Drosophila melanogaster: one gene and its partner. The protein of the gene in region 2 interacts with the protein of the main gene of each other region in a pairwise test. Each region holds a gene or a part of one and is shown on either strand. Other genes may lie near its edges.

Region 1 (6,033 bases), on a different chromosome or scaffold from region 2:
AGTGCCGATAAGACTGACGAAGCGCTAGCTTCTGTAGAGAGTTGACTCTTCGGGAAGAGGTCTCTGATCGCTCGAGTGGCCCATAATGAGTAGCTGACTGAAATCAATTCTTATCTATTGAATGGGTCAATAAAAACTAGCTATAAATAGCCATTAGGAGGCCAAGCTCAGTAGGGTGTGAATGGAATTGCTGTTGAGTATGGGAAATAATGTGACTTCCCTTGCGCCACTGGTTTCAAAAGTCATTTTAACTCAAAACTTTCAAATTTTTATAAAATTAAAAATATTAAATATCAATTGTTTATGTGCTAACACATTCAGGAGGGTCAATCAGGTCGTTCTGACTCTTCTTTATTTGTGTTTAATCTTACACTTTCTAGTTGTATTTCTAATCAGTTATTGCATGATTATTAGATCATTGTTTCCCTTTGTACTGATCAACAGTGTGTAACTCTCAAATTAATTCATTGCAGGATTCTGGCCAGGACATCACCAACCGCGTATTCCAAGGATGCGGTAGGCCAAAGTTGAAGAAAATGAAACGGTCCATCAGCCCCAAACTGCAAGGAGTTCAAATCCTCAACGCAAGGAGTCCTGTGGAGGCCGATACTCTGGACATTGATGAAACGTTGGACGAGGCGATTGTGCTGAGAGAACGCAGAGCTGCTGAGCCCGGCTCACAGGAGACATCGGCGCAACAGTCTCAAGAGCAAGGAGTTGGAAAGAGTGGAAATGGAGGAGGAGGCGGTGGCGGTAACAACAGGCGGCAACAGCAACGTCGAAAGCAGCAGCAACAGCGACGCAAACAGCAAAACAATCGCGACGACAACGATGACGATGACAATGAGAGCGGAGGTGGACGTGAACCGATTCTGGACAGGATCGTGAGGGACATTCGCCAGCGAGTGAAGGACTACAAAAAGTTCTGGTCCAATCTGCCGCACTCGGTTTGTAGCAACGAGGATATAGCCTCCAGTTCCGATGTGGACGGCATGTGCTGGAATGGTCACACAATTGATAGGTAGGCGGAAAAAACTAAATAAAATTAGCACAGCTATCTTAAACATATTATATTTTTCAGATACATGCACTCAATCACCACAGAACACGGCTCGAATCCGGAGTTTACAGGCAATCCTGCCAGTACTAAGCAAACAGCTCAAATGGCCTCTCAACTAAGTCATCTGAAGAATGCCATTGTCCACCTTCGAAATGCCTACAACGGCCAGGATGTTGAGTGGAGCGAACAAGGTAATATATGCTGGTGATTGTAATGAGTCTGTTTATAAACCATCGAATCAATCTTTTTATGTATACTTACTAACCCTTTGTTTCATTTTTGTTTTACAGAAGAACTGCCATATGCGGGTAGTGGAGCTGGTTCTGGATCCGGGTCCGAAGACGACGAGGACGATGACGAGGGCTCTGGCCTGGGACCCTTCGAACCCAGCCATAAGCCGGACGTGGAGCGTCCTTCGGTGGATGCAGACAACGACGATGACGAGGACGCCGGTGGACGGGGTCACATGCCCACGCACACATCTCGACCGACGAGCGGAGTGGACGACAAGAATCCGCTCATCCACACCACTCACTTCGACCAAGATCACAACGATCTGGATGAGGATCATAGGCAGCTGGATGAGGATGAGGACACGGATGCAGGCCATGACGGGGCCAATGACAATCGATCATCCGATGCCCCAGAAAAGATGACGCTGCGTCGCGCTCTGGTTGTTTATCTGCTGCCCCTTTATATGGCGTGGTTCGGTGGCGTCTGCGCCGATTTGCTGTGATTACTCAACGTGCGAAATGCAGCCAAGATGGAGCACGGCTGCATCCCCTACACCTCTCAGTCATTCATCCGTGAAGCAAAATGTTATTAGCAGAACTACATGCTACCCCTTATATACGAAATGCGAGTCCAAAATTTTATAAAAACTTTTGATAGTAGCAATCAAAACGCAATCAAGAAAATAGGTAATTTTTCGAATTTTACTCTCGTCAGGAATTTTTTCAAATTTGAATTGGATGAAATCTCACTCTAAATCTAAAATTTAATTTTTGAAAACTACCAGATATTGTAAAAATCAGAAAATGCCTGATCTAAAGCGGTTCTTTAATGAGACCCGATAGGAGAAAAAGAAATTAGTGGAGGAGAGAGAATACGTAACGAGCCCATTTTAGTTTAGTAAGCCCCCAAACGCCCCTGTTCCCCCACACTCTAAGTCTAAGTGCGAAATTGTATTTTGTAAGCCAGAGAGTGAATGAATGTAGAAGTGAGTGCGTGTATGTCGCGGAGTGAATGCTTTTACCGAGTGTGAGTGCGAGCGGAGTGCCTGTTCAATGTGATCGTTTAGCAAAAATTAACTATAAACACTTTAGCCCCTAGAGACCTAAGCGAAAAACACACCTACACCTACATATTTAATTTGTATTATATTTATGCATACGCGCATATGTAATGTAACCAGCAAATTGCCACAGCACACAATTTCAATTATCACCGAAATGAAGAGCAATAACTAATTTGTAACTGTAGTCTACTGATAAACCTAAAAACTGAAGTCTTATTTACGTTAACATGGCCATAGAAAAGCGTCCGAGCCACGGCTTTTGTAATTTTGTATCTTTCGTAGACAGCCCTGACTTTTGCCAGCCATCAAACGCATTTCAAACTAAACTGTGTACACCTACATATTTATATTTATTTTTGATTTTTTATCGGTTTTTATATATTGTATTAAAACAAATGGAAAAAGAAAAAATACAAAAACGTAACAAAAGAAAAGAACTTCCGCTTTTAATTGTGGGGATTGATTTAGAAGGTGTTTCAAAAGTTCATTAACTCATGCCCTTAAAAACCGTTACTGTTATATGGCGTTGCCAGAATTGAAAAATATTTATGTATGATACATCTTCAGCTGTAGGTTTTATGAACGCTAGAGGTCGCACATGTGCCAATGTAAAAGTCGTTTGTAAACAAATTGCCTAAAGCGCAGAGTTTCTTAACGGAAAGTTATGCTTTCTTAAATTTTAAAAAACAACTAAGCTGAAGAAGACAAGTAAACAAGAAAACAATACACAGTAAGCAAGAAAAAAAATTCTTTTTGCCACGGTTTTTATTCTAACAATTAACAATTAACAATTTTCTGCCCGTTTTCCTCGTGTATAACGTATGGAAAACCGTAGCATTAATAACAATTATACAATGGAAAATCGCATTATTGATTTCCTGTGACTTCCTTGTCTACCTCTTCAATTTCATCATCATCTACCTTTGACCCAATAGCTTCTTCATTTGCAAATTCTGAAAGTTCTTTCTCCTGGTTGTCCAACTCATCCTCCAATGTTTCCAAGTCCTCATAGGTGTCTCCATTACCTTCGTCCAAAGCAGGTAAATTCAAGCTAGCCATTGAGTTCTCCACAGATGTAAGGCGGTCCAAGAGGGTCTTCAGGCGCTTGTCGATAGACTGGAGGGCTACAAGGCTCCCTTTGGTTTTCTCTTCAGTCTTTGTTAATAGCCCGAGGTCATGTAGACTTTTTTTCGGTTTCTCCGGAGACTCCGGGGAAAGCATATCTAAAATTTTTTTTTATTTCTTCTATGATGGGAATAATTTTAGAGACTGTCAATGATCGATGTATACCTTACTTCTATATTGTCAAAATAGTTAATATTAATGACTGGCCTCCTAGATTACCAAAATTGATAAATAAATACTTATTTTATGAGTATTGATTGATTATGACTTTGAGGCGCATATATTCAGAATACAGTTCTATCTAGCTGTATGCATATATTAGAATAAGTGACCAATTTTGGTATCAATTTTTTTCCATGTACCAAAAATACTCATTCATTCATATGACCGGCAAGTGGGAGAGCGTGGAAACTCCGAGATCGTGGCCAAGCGCAAAGGTCTCGAGATCTCAGGCGACGCTCCATCCGTCGGAATATCTGGCCTGATGGCTCTCTGTGTATCTTTGGGTGCGCGGGGAGCTTGTGGTGGCTTTTTCAGTGAGCGCGCGATCGGCGTACGGTAAACAACAACTGCTGCCAACGCAACGTGAAAAATGAACTGCGGCAAAGAAAATTTCGAAACGTAAACCTGGAGCGCCCCTCTGTGCACACGAAAATATATCTGTGAGATGCGCGAATGCGAATCTTGATGCATTGCAAAAATTTTGAATTTAAATAATTACGCAAGGCGCGGCACACGTGAGTGCGGTCGTGAAATGAAATGAAATGAAAAGTGGGCGAAGCGAAAGTGGAAATTGACGTCAATTTTCCTGTGATCACTGTGATTGTGATGAGTAACCAATTATAAACAAGTGAAAGACGACAAATAGATAAGGCTATCAGCAATCTTTCGGTTCGGTATCGTTCATCCGCAGTTCCGCGTAAGTTTCATTAGGCAAAACACTAAAATTTCATAAACAAACATTTGAAATGAGAAAACTTTTTGGTTCTCCGGCCAAAGCAACGTTTGACTTTTAAAGTCAACGTCTTCTTCTAAGCTCTTTTCTTTTCATCTTTTATTTGCCCCCTTGCGCTTTCAGCTGTTCGATGGAAACCAGTTTGCCATAGACTAGCTAGCTAATGTTTCTAACGATATTTGCTTTTTGGGCCGCATCAAACCGCTGAATGTTTAGACTTCTAACTGCAACTGTTGCTGCTGGCTGAAGGTTGTTGTGTCTTACACAGTTAGGCGCACAATTAACTGACTGCGGAGCAACAGTAGTCAGCTGTGTAATCTTCTAGGGATGACTAAAAATAAACACAAGTAATTGCTAAAATAAAGAATGGAAACAAAGTTAGCACCTTCTCAAATTTATCATAGCCTGAGTATATAAAGCCAGTTGTTTCGTCGGAAAGATTTTTAGACGTATTAACATATATGTACTTGCGGTTTCTTTCAATCTAACAATATTTAGGAAGGACTCATTTAAAGGTATAAATGGTTGGATTTTATATATAACGTGGTCAACTTTATCGTATATTTAGGTTTTTGATTAAAATTTATCATGCTCTCATAACGCATAATTGAAAGGCTATTACGGGGTTTTTCAATAAAAAAAAATATAAGCAAAAAATTCGCTCATGCGAATTTGTACCACATAGCAGAGCAAGGTTTCGATCCTCGGACCTCTGGGTTATGGGCCCAGCACGCTTCCACTGCGCCACTCTGCTTGCTTGAGGCCAACAGGCCATTGAGTCGATGTAATTACAAAGGACACTTTGTTACCAATAAAAGTAAAATAGAAATGCGCTTCACAGTACAGCGTTCTAACTACTGTATGTACGCATTAACTGTTCAGTTGTTGAAACTGTATACACATTCACTGTACGATTAAAGCGTATTCTTATAGTAATACATGAACACTGCTTTGTGGATGAGCAACAACAGAGCTGTTAAGAAAGCAGTGCACTGTAAAGGGTCACAAATGTATATTCGTCGGTAACGAGGTGTTCCACTTCTCGTTTGTAATTAACTAGCCTTGAGGTCCAGTACTTCAAGCAAGCAGAGTGGCGCAGTGGAAGCGTGCTGGGCCCATAACCCAGAGGTCCGAGGATCGAAACCTTGCTCTGCTATGTGGTACAATTCGCATGAGCGAATTTTTTTATTGCGAAATTTCGATGTTTATATTTGTACATAAAATGCATTTTTGCAATTAGTAAAGAAATTTCCTAGCCAAATATAAGACGCACTGATTAAGGGATTTCTAACCTACTGCATTGTTTATCTTTATTCAGTTGTTTTAGTATAAAAGTACAAAATATGACCTAAACTACTAAGGGATTAACTACAGACTAAGGCGAAGAATTGTCCACCGCTTTGAGCACTCTCTTTATGATATTAGTAATCCTCATCGCAGAAACAACCGTCTCGCGAGTTCTCCACAATCCAGTCCAGATATTTCGTGACTCGGGTATACACTCCTGGATAATTGGGTCTAGCACAACCGTTACCCCAAGATACTATTCCAATCTGTTCGAATCGCTTGTCATCTGGGCGAAGACGTACCAGTGGA
Region 2 (7,724 bases):
CAACAATTAACCCATGTGATATCGGACAACGGGTTTGGGTGGGATTAAGCGAGAAGAGTAAGGAAATATCGAAAGTGGCGCAGCAGTGTTTCCGAAGCGCTTTCGTCGGTGGATTCCCAAAACTGGGCAAGTGAACACATTGACTGATTTATTTATTATAATAAGAAGTATGGAATAATAATAAAGTCCACCCATTCCACCATTCAATTATTTTATCTAAGTTAATTATTTTCCAAGGGGATCATTTTTCCTTATACTGGTAGCTGGTTATAAATTATTTAAGTGGGAATAGAAAACTGCAAATTATGATTATTAGCGGTCCAAATTTTATTAAGTTTTGGCTAGCATGTATAATAGCTTTAAGAAATATCAGTCGTGTTAAAATATATATTTTCTTAAATGTTTTGAAAACCTAACTCGTTTGCCTCTGACTAGGATGTATTTCCTGTGAGCCGCGGTTAACGACCAAAAGGGGCCATTCAGGATGACAACTGTTTGTTATTTTCGGTATAGAATGGCCAAGGAAGGGCGGGCATTACATGATCCTTCACCACATCTACGGATCGAGCGAATCTTTTTGTCCGTTGTCAGTGTCGTGCATGGCCTTTTTCTTAATTGTCGTAGCACGCAATTACAATATATCAGCAGATTGAAATTGGGCTGAGATTTCAGGACAAGATGAGATTCCCCACATAACCGACAAGGAGCAACTGGACATTTGCGTGTGCGTCCTGGAATATCTCTTAGCACCACCCTAGCGTTACAAATCGTTTCACTACAAGGTGGTGGTCAAGAGGGCATCCACGAGGACTCCCACGCCCCTCGACCCTGTGAAGCTCCGCAGTGTATTGGAGCATCTGTTTTAGTTGATGGACGGGTTATGTCCCGCTGACCCAGCCAAAGATGGCCACGTCGAAGCAGACGCCACGGTCAGCAGGGAGGAGATCCTGGAGTTGGCGAAGCTACTGATGGACGGCAAGGCCCCGGGCTCGACGGAATTCGCAACAGGGCGCTTCGGCTAGCGCTCTCCCTCCAGCTAGCCCACTTTTGCAAAGGCGTTCACCAAGTGCATGACTAAAGACGTCTTCCCAACCTGTTGAAAGAACCAAAAACTGCTGCTCCGCACAAAACCAGGGAAGCCACCCGAGGAGCCTTCATGGTCCCCCCGATATGCCTCATCGATGGAAATGGCAAGCTCCTGGTGTGCAAGCTCCAAACTGGTGTGCGTTGGTGTGGAGAGGGCTATCTCAGACGCAGGAGACCTCTCACGGTTCCAGTTTGGTTTCAGGAAAGCGCGATCCACGGTGGATGCTGTCAAAAGAGTGGTTGTAGTAGCGGTCTACGCTTTCGGATGCACCAGATGATGTGGGACCGGATCCTAGATGCACTAACCGCCTTAGTGGTGCCAGCCTACGTAGTCCGTATAGTGCGCACCTACTTCTCGGAACGGGTCCTACTCTAAGAGTAGCGGCTGTCAAATTACTATAGGCTATGTATGCGTATTCGTAAGCTTCAGTACGAAGTCTATACATCTAGAGGCCACCTCTGACATGACCACGGAGAAATTTCTCGGATCCTGTCTTAGCTCCAAACCAATTTCCGTGATGTCAGAGAAGAAGGCGAGATCGCTTGAGAAAACGTTGAAGGTGCTTCACAAGAGAGAAAGATTACTTGGAAAACCGTTTTAAGATCAGCGACAAGAGAGAGTGAGAGAGAGAGAGAGAGAGTGAGAGATCACTTGGGAACCCGTTTAAGGTGCGCTAAAAGCGAAAGAGAGACGACGTGATCTATTAACCGAGCTGTGAAGTGCCTTGCTTAATAACCCGGCAGTCGCCCACTTCGTAAAAGCACCTGCTGGGTTAGTGTGCCCGTCGGCTGCGTGGCATTTGCCTGGATTAGCGTGCCCAGCCTACTCGGAACAGTGTGACCAGCCGCCAGTGCTTGCGGGCGGGCGCTCTCAAATATTTAAATTTCAATTGCTTCGCTTTACTACTTATTTACTCATTAATATAATTATTCTTTATTTGTACTTCATTATTTAACTTAGTTATTTTCTACATTATTCATATATTTTATTTCTATTTATATATATTAAGTCCTTAATGTGCGCGGAATGCGCACACATTTCTTTTAAGAATGTAAAAAGTCAACTGCATACAATTATCAGATTGCCGAATGGCAACACTTTTTTATTTGTTATTTTAGCTCTATAAATAAATAATATTTTAAATAACCGTATCAGTAGACATTGCTGGTTAGCGGAATGAAGAAAATATCCCTCTTAGTATTAGCGAATCTGAGCTGTGGTTAGTTCATTGCAGCCCCAGATTCAGATATCAGCCTCTAATATGACAGGAAATTACAATACATTTCACAGCCCTAAGTAGTAGGGAATATGAAGAACACGACAGGCTGGCGACGTGGAGACTTCGAAATATTGTAAACAAGTATAAATACTTAGCCACCGGAAACGCGGAGTTCTCCCGGTGGATTGAAAAAGTAAACAACGTTGCTGCCTTAAAGCTTGGACACAGAAGGTTACTTCAAAATATACGATAAGCAACGCCAATTGCTTGAAGATAACATTACTCAGCGCTTGAACACGCTCAGATCCCTAATCCCTAGCCAGCATCAGGAAAATGAACTTAAGAATGCCTACAAGTTCTCAAATAAGAGAAAAGAAGAGGTGTATATGAGAAATATGAGGGAATGCTCTGCACCACCGGAGATACAAGGATATGATTATGATTACTATCTAGGCTATTGATCATAAAATTGTCCAATGAAATCAAATAAAAGGTCGCTTTTGGTTAACCTTTATCGAACACCTACTCTGCCAATATACCAAAAAATGGTTGAAAATTCTTGTTCGCACTCCGACCAACTGGCAAATGGGTATCTAGTCCTCTAGATAGTCGAGGAACTGGACTAGAGCTTGTTATATTGTTTAATTTAAAACCGCACTGGTTTTTGGCGTCGGATGTTTAAGGATTAAGTTTTCCCGGCAGCCGACGGACGCCCTTAAAAGTAGCAGCAACAGCACATGGACCACATGTCACCAACCCCATTATTTCCGACGAAAACTGGTGGCAGTCAGTTTTTCCGAGTACACAAGTCTATTTCCATGGGTATTACTGAAAATGAGGCTTATATCTATAAGTTATTAAGCGAGCATTAATATGACATGTTTGTATCGAATTGGTTTAAAAATGCATATGGCTTCAAGTCTTGTTTACCTAGCATTTGTTGCACATTTTTTTTTTAAGAGTGTAAAAAGTCAATCGCAAAGCTTGACGAATGGGTTTTCTACACTCCTTTATATATTATTTTAGGTTTATAAATTAACAATATTTAAAATATCCGTATCAGATGCATTTGTTGGTTAGCGGAATGAAGATAATAGCACTCTTAGTATTGGCGAATCTGGGCTTTGGTGAGTTCATTGCAGATCCAGATTGAGATATCAGCCTCTAATATGACAGGAAATTACAATATATTCCACAGTTCTAAGTGAATCCTTAGCAGAAATGGACAGGCTGGCGACGTGGAGGCTTCATAATATTTCAAACAAGTACAAATACCTATCCACCGGAAACCCCGAGTTCTACCAGTGGATAGAAAGGGTAAACACCGTTGCCGATGAATTCAATCACTACAATAAGCATCGGCAAAGACTTGAGGATCAAATTACTGAGCGCTTGATAACGATCAGATCCATAATTGCCATAAGAAACGCAAGCAAGAGATGTCTTCGATTCTACCTTAATCAGGAAGCTGAACTTGAAAGTGCCTACAAGTCCTCCAATGAAAGAAAACAACAGGTTCTCTACCAAAATAGTGTAAGATGCCCTCATGGATTGGATGACGGCAGGCTTGGTGACCCTTACTTTGTTGACTACTTATGATAAATATGTTTAACCAAATCAAATAAAATATCGCTTTTGATTGAAATACTTTGGAATAATTCAAGCTTAATTAATTATGGGCAAGCCTGTTGAATATTTGTTTGAATTTGTGTGATAAGGTTTTTTTAACCGCAGTTGCTTTGCATGGCTTAAGTATTTAAGCTTAATCTATTTAATATGCTTAATATGCATGTGCATATCCATCGATTTGCTTTGCCCTTTGTAGACTTTCCCATTTTAGCTATTCACTTCAGTTAGCATTTCGAACCGCCAATATGAAGTTTATGGCAATATGCCTATTGGCAAATATTGGCTACAGTAAGTACATAGTACATTTGTACAGATATCCCAAGACAGACACTCATTTAAGCAATATTTATGCAGTACTTGGCACTACAATTGGCCAGCTTAATGACGAAGCCACAATTCGACTAAAGGGACTTGTGGAGAAATATAAACTGCAAGCTCTTAGCAATCCCGAATTCTCTCAGTGGATTGGCAAACTTGAGAAAACTAGCAAGTCGAGAAGATTGGAAGACAAAATGAAGGTCAAAGCTGAATTTAAAAACTACGACGAACGTCGCTTGCAATTGGAAAATAAAATTAGGGAACGCATTACGGCGATCGATGACCTCATATCCGATATTATGGCCAAAGTCCCGATAAAGGATAAAGGGTGTCTCAAGTATTACCAACGCCAGAAAAGATCCCTTAAATTGGCCCACAATTTTTCGAATTTAACTAAGCAAACAAACCTCATACGCAACTCGAAACAATGCGAAACAACTAAAGTGCAGTCTAGTGAACTAAGTGAAAGCTCTGAAAATCCGGATGAGTATAGTTATTACTAAGCTAGTATTACTAGTATCTAGATAGTGCATTATATCAATATATACACATATATGTATCTTTCGAGAGCTTCCAGCAACGAGTTTCCGGCCCTGTTAATATTGATTATAATCAATCTCGTTGACCATACTTTCATTTCGCAGAGCCCGTGGCCATTTTTATTGCATCCACAATTCGGCTGACCACATTTTAGCTTCATTTACAGTTATTTGGCCGGCCCCCACCTGCACAGATACTGTCACACCACCGGCCGCCGACTAAATGCCTACGCCAACAGCTACGCCCACGGCCACACCCACGCCCACTGCCACGCCCCGCAGGCAAAACCGCAAATTCAATTTTGGTTTAGAGCCTACAAACATTTTGCAGCGTGTTTATGTCCGGCTGCATTGTTGCGAGTAGTTTTCGCTCCTGGCCCGCTTTTAATGCAATTTATGGGAAGTGTTTGCCCCGGATTCGGTTGCCACTGACCACAAAGCGATCTTTTGTGATATGGAGAGTGGATGTGGATGTAGGCGCGGGGCATGGGGTATGGGGCATGCGGCATGTGGCATGGGTGGGTTAAAATAGTGGTCGCGGTCTCTAGTTGGGTTTTCATTAAAGCATGACCGGTTGCCAACTGACAGTTCTTAGTGGCCATGTCCGCATCATAATCGTCAATCGAACTTTGGACAAATTTGCAATTTTGCAGATTGCGGATGCGAGTCCATATGGTCGCATTTCTATCTAGATCAGGCAATAAGGCTAAATTTTAGTTTACAGATTAATGAAGCAAAGAAAAAAGTAAAATTTCTATTAACTGAACATATAAATATGTTTTTTTTTATTACATCAATGCTAGTGCTTCCTTTTACCGAAAACCTATTGAATACGCTAAAAAATTGGAATAGTCGCAAGCGGAAGTCGTCCAAAAAAATCCTTAAGAATTTTGGAACCAGTTTTTCTACTTGTCGTATCGAACCAGGCGCGTGTCGTCGCCGACCTCCTCCAGATCCTTTGGATCGCGGCGGAAGCGATAAGTGCCGACATCCTGGTTGGCCGATTCCGGCAACGTCACCTTGATGCCCTTGTACTCGGTTCGACCTTCCCTGACCTCCGGCACCCGCAGCTCCATCTCGGCCTTGTACTCGTCATCGTTACCAATGTCCACGTCCTGGACGTTCTTTTGCACGGTGGGATCCTCCTCGTCCTGGTTCCAGCCATCAATCTCGATGGGGACAATGGGGTTGCCGTCGACGCCTACGACGGAACTAGGTGCGCCAGTAGGCAGGATCTCCACGGTATCTCCAGAAATCGGATTCTCTGCTGGTGGCGACTCAACTGCATCCGCGTCCACTATGTTGGTCACCTCTTTGAATGGAGTATGGTCCATCAATGTCAGCGAATTGACGAAATTGCGATTAAACTCTACGTCAGTCTTGGCCATCTCATTTATATTGATATCTATCACGGTCACGCCATCGATGTTCCGCGGACGGTCAATGGTGAGGCAAGTAAGACCAGTAGACATTTTGGAGTGCAAGGTCGAGCGGGCCACACGGACACGGTGCAGCGCCAGCTGATTCCTCAGCATCGAAAGATTGCGAAACATGGTTTTTGTCGGTGTTTCGAGTGCGGAAACTAACTACCCAACAGAACAAAAACCGAAGTTAAATTTAAAAAACGTTCTTATTTACAAACAAAAATTGGAAGGTCTTATGTTGCCGAAATTTTAGATATGACTAAAATTCCCAGCTAAACCCGACAACTGACAAATCTCGATTGTGAAGGAAGTTAAAGGCCAGGCTACACTGGTTACTGATAATTACTGAAATTGAAATATAAATGAAATCACTATCGCCGTATCAATATCTTTATTGGTGCATTTTATGTGAAGTACACAAGCGTTTAAACATATTCTTTTGTCACCCTCTTATACCTATTGACAACTCGAACATTCCAATTCCAATTCCAATTCCAACAAATACTATATACTCGTTTTATACCTAAATTTCGGTAGGGTAACAATCAAGAAGTTTATAGATTTATACCTAAAATAGTACATAAAACAATTCTTCCATCCTTAATTCATATTAGCTCACTCCGTAGATCTAACTACCTTTTACATAAGGTAGCGAACAAATTTTAGGTTTTAACGTTTTCGCTTAGGGGCACTTCCGGTTGCCCTTCGCACCTTCCGCTTGCCAGACGTGGAGGTTTCTGATTTCTCCTCGAAAGACGACTCCTCCTCCTTGCCAGTGCGCACCTCCCGATTTACTTTGTAGGCGGCGCCCATTCTCTTAATGTTCTCCTTGTGCACCACTTCGTGTTTAACAATCCGGTGGGGATAATCCGTGCCGAGGACGCAGCCGTATGCCCGCTGATCCACCAGCGACGCCTTCCAGGGCTCATAAATACAGCCAGCAGGATATTTTGAGAGTTCCGGCACATACTTCCTGATATAGTGCCCTTGGGGATCCGTTTTCTTGCCAAACGCCACCGGACTGTAGACGCGAAAATACTGGTGAAAGAAAGCGGACGCAGATAGCCACATCCAGTTGCCAGCGTTTAGTGCCCAGTCCTGATCCAGCAGCAGCTGCTCGAACACCCGCTGTCCCTCCTCCCAACTGATCCAGAGGTCTCCGCGCGTTAAGAAACATGCCACTGCATGCCGGGCCAGATGATGGATCCAACCCTCCTGGCGCAGCTGACGCATGATGGCGTCGATGAAAGGATATCCTGTGCGTCCGTGTGTCCAGGCCTCCAAGTGATCTGGATGCTCCTGCCACGGAATTTGCATGCAGTATACATTGCCCAACATTCGATCGAAATTGGGTTCCGCAGCCGCCACTGTGTAGTAAAATTCCCTCCACATGAGTTGTCCAATGAGCGAAACGGGCGGCTGCGAGTGCTTCGGCTGGCGTTTGATAATTTCCTTGAGCTTTTGATTGAACAGTCGGGCACTAAGGCATCCAAATTTGAGGTAAGGGC

The links. Proteins that work in one complex are often made in the same cells at the same time.
Region 1: the proteins of Sfp38D (region 2) and CG43121 interact in a two-hybrid assay, tested with the Drosophila melanogaster proteins (one large-scale study listed by BioGRID).

The regions. Positions count from the first base shown.
Region 1 is NT_037436.4:14,668,823-14,674,855, forward strand, and holds CG43121 (uncharacterized protein), read right to left. Parts: upstream 3,616-6,033; 5' UTR 3,579-3,615; coding exon 3,225-3,578; 3' UTR 3,113-3,224; downstream 1-3,112. Other genes in the region: dlp (dally-like), read left to right, coding at 474-1,021, 1,082-1,251, 1,351-1,796; CG4914 (uncharacterized protein), read right to left, coding at 5,859-6,033.
Region 2 is NT_033779.5:20,636,760-20,644,483, forward strand, and holds Sfp38D (seminal fluid protein 38D), read left to right. Parts: upstream 1-4,157; 5' UTR 4,158-4,180; coding exon 4,181-4,223; intron 4,224-4,289; coding exon 4,290-4,756; 3' UTR 4,757-5,457; downstream 5,458-7,724. Other genes in the region: CG31680 (uncharacterized protein), read left to right, coding at 3,391-3,433, 3,505-3,905; CG17470 (uncharacterized protein), read right to left, coding at 5,698-6,345; phr6-4 ((6-4)-photolyase), read right to left, coding at 6,886-7,724.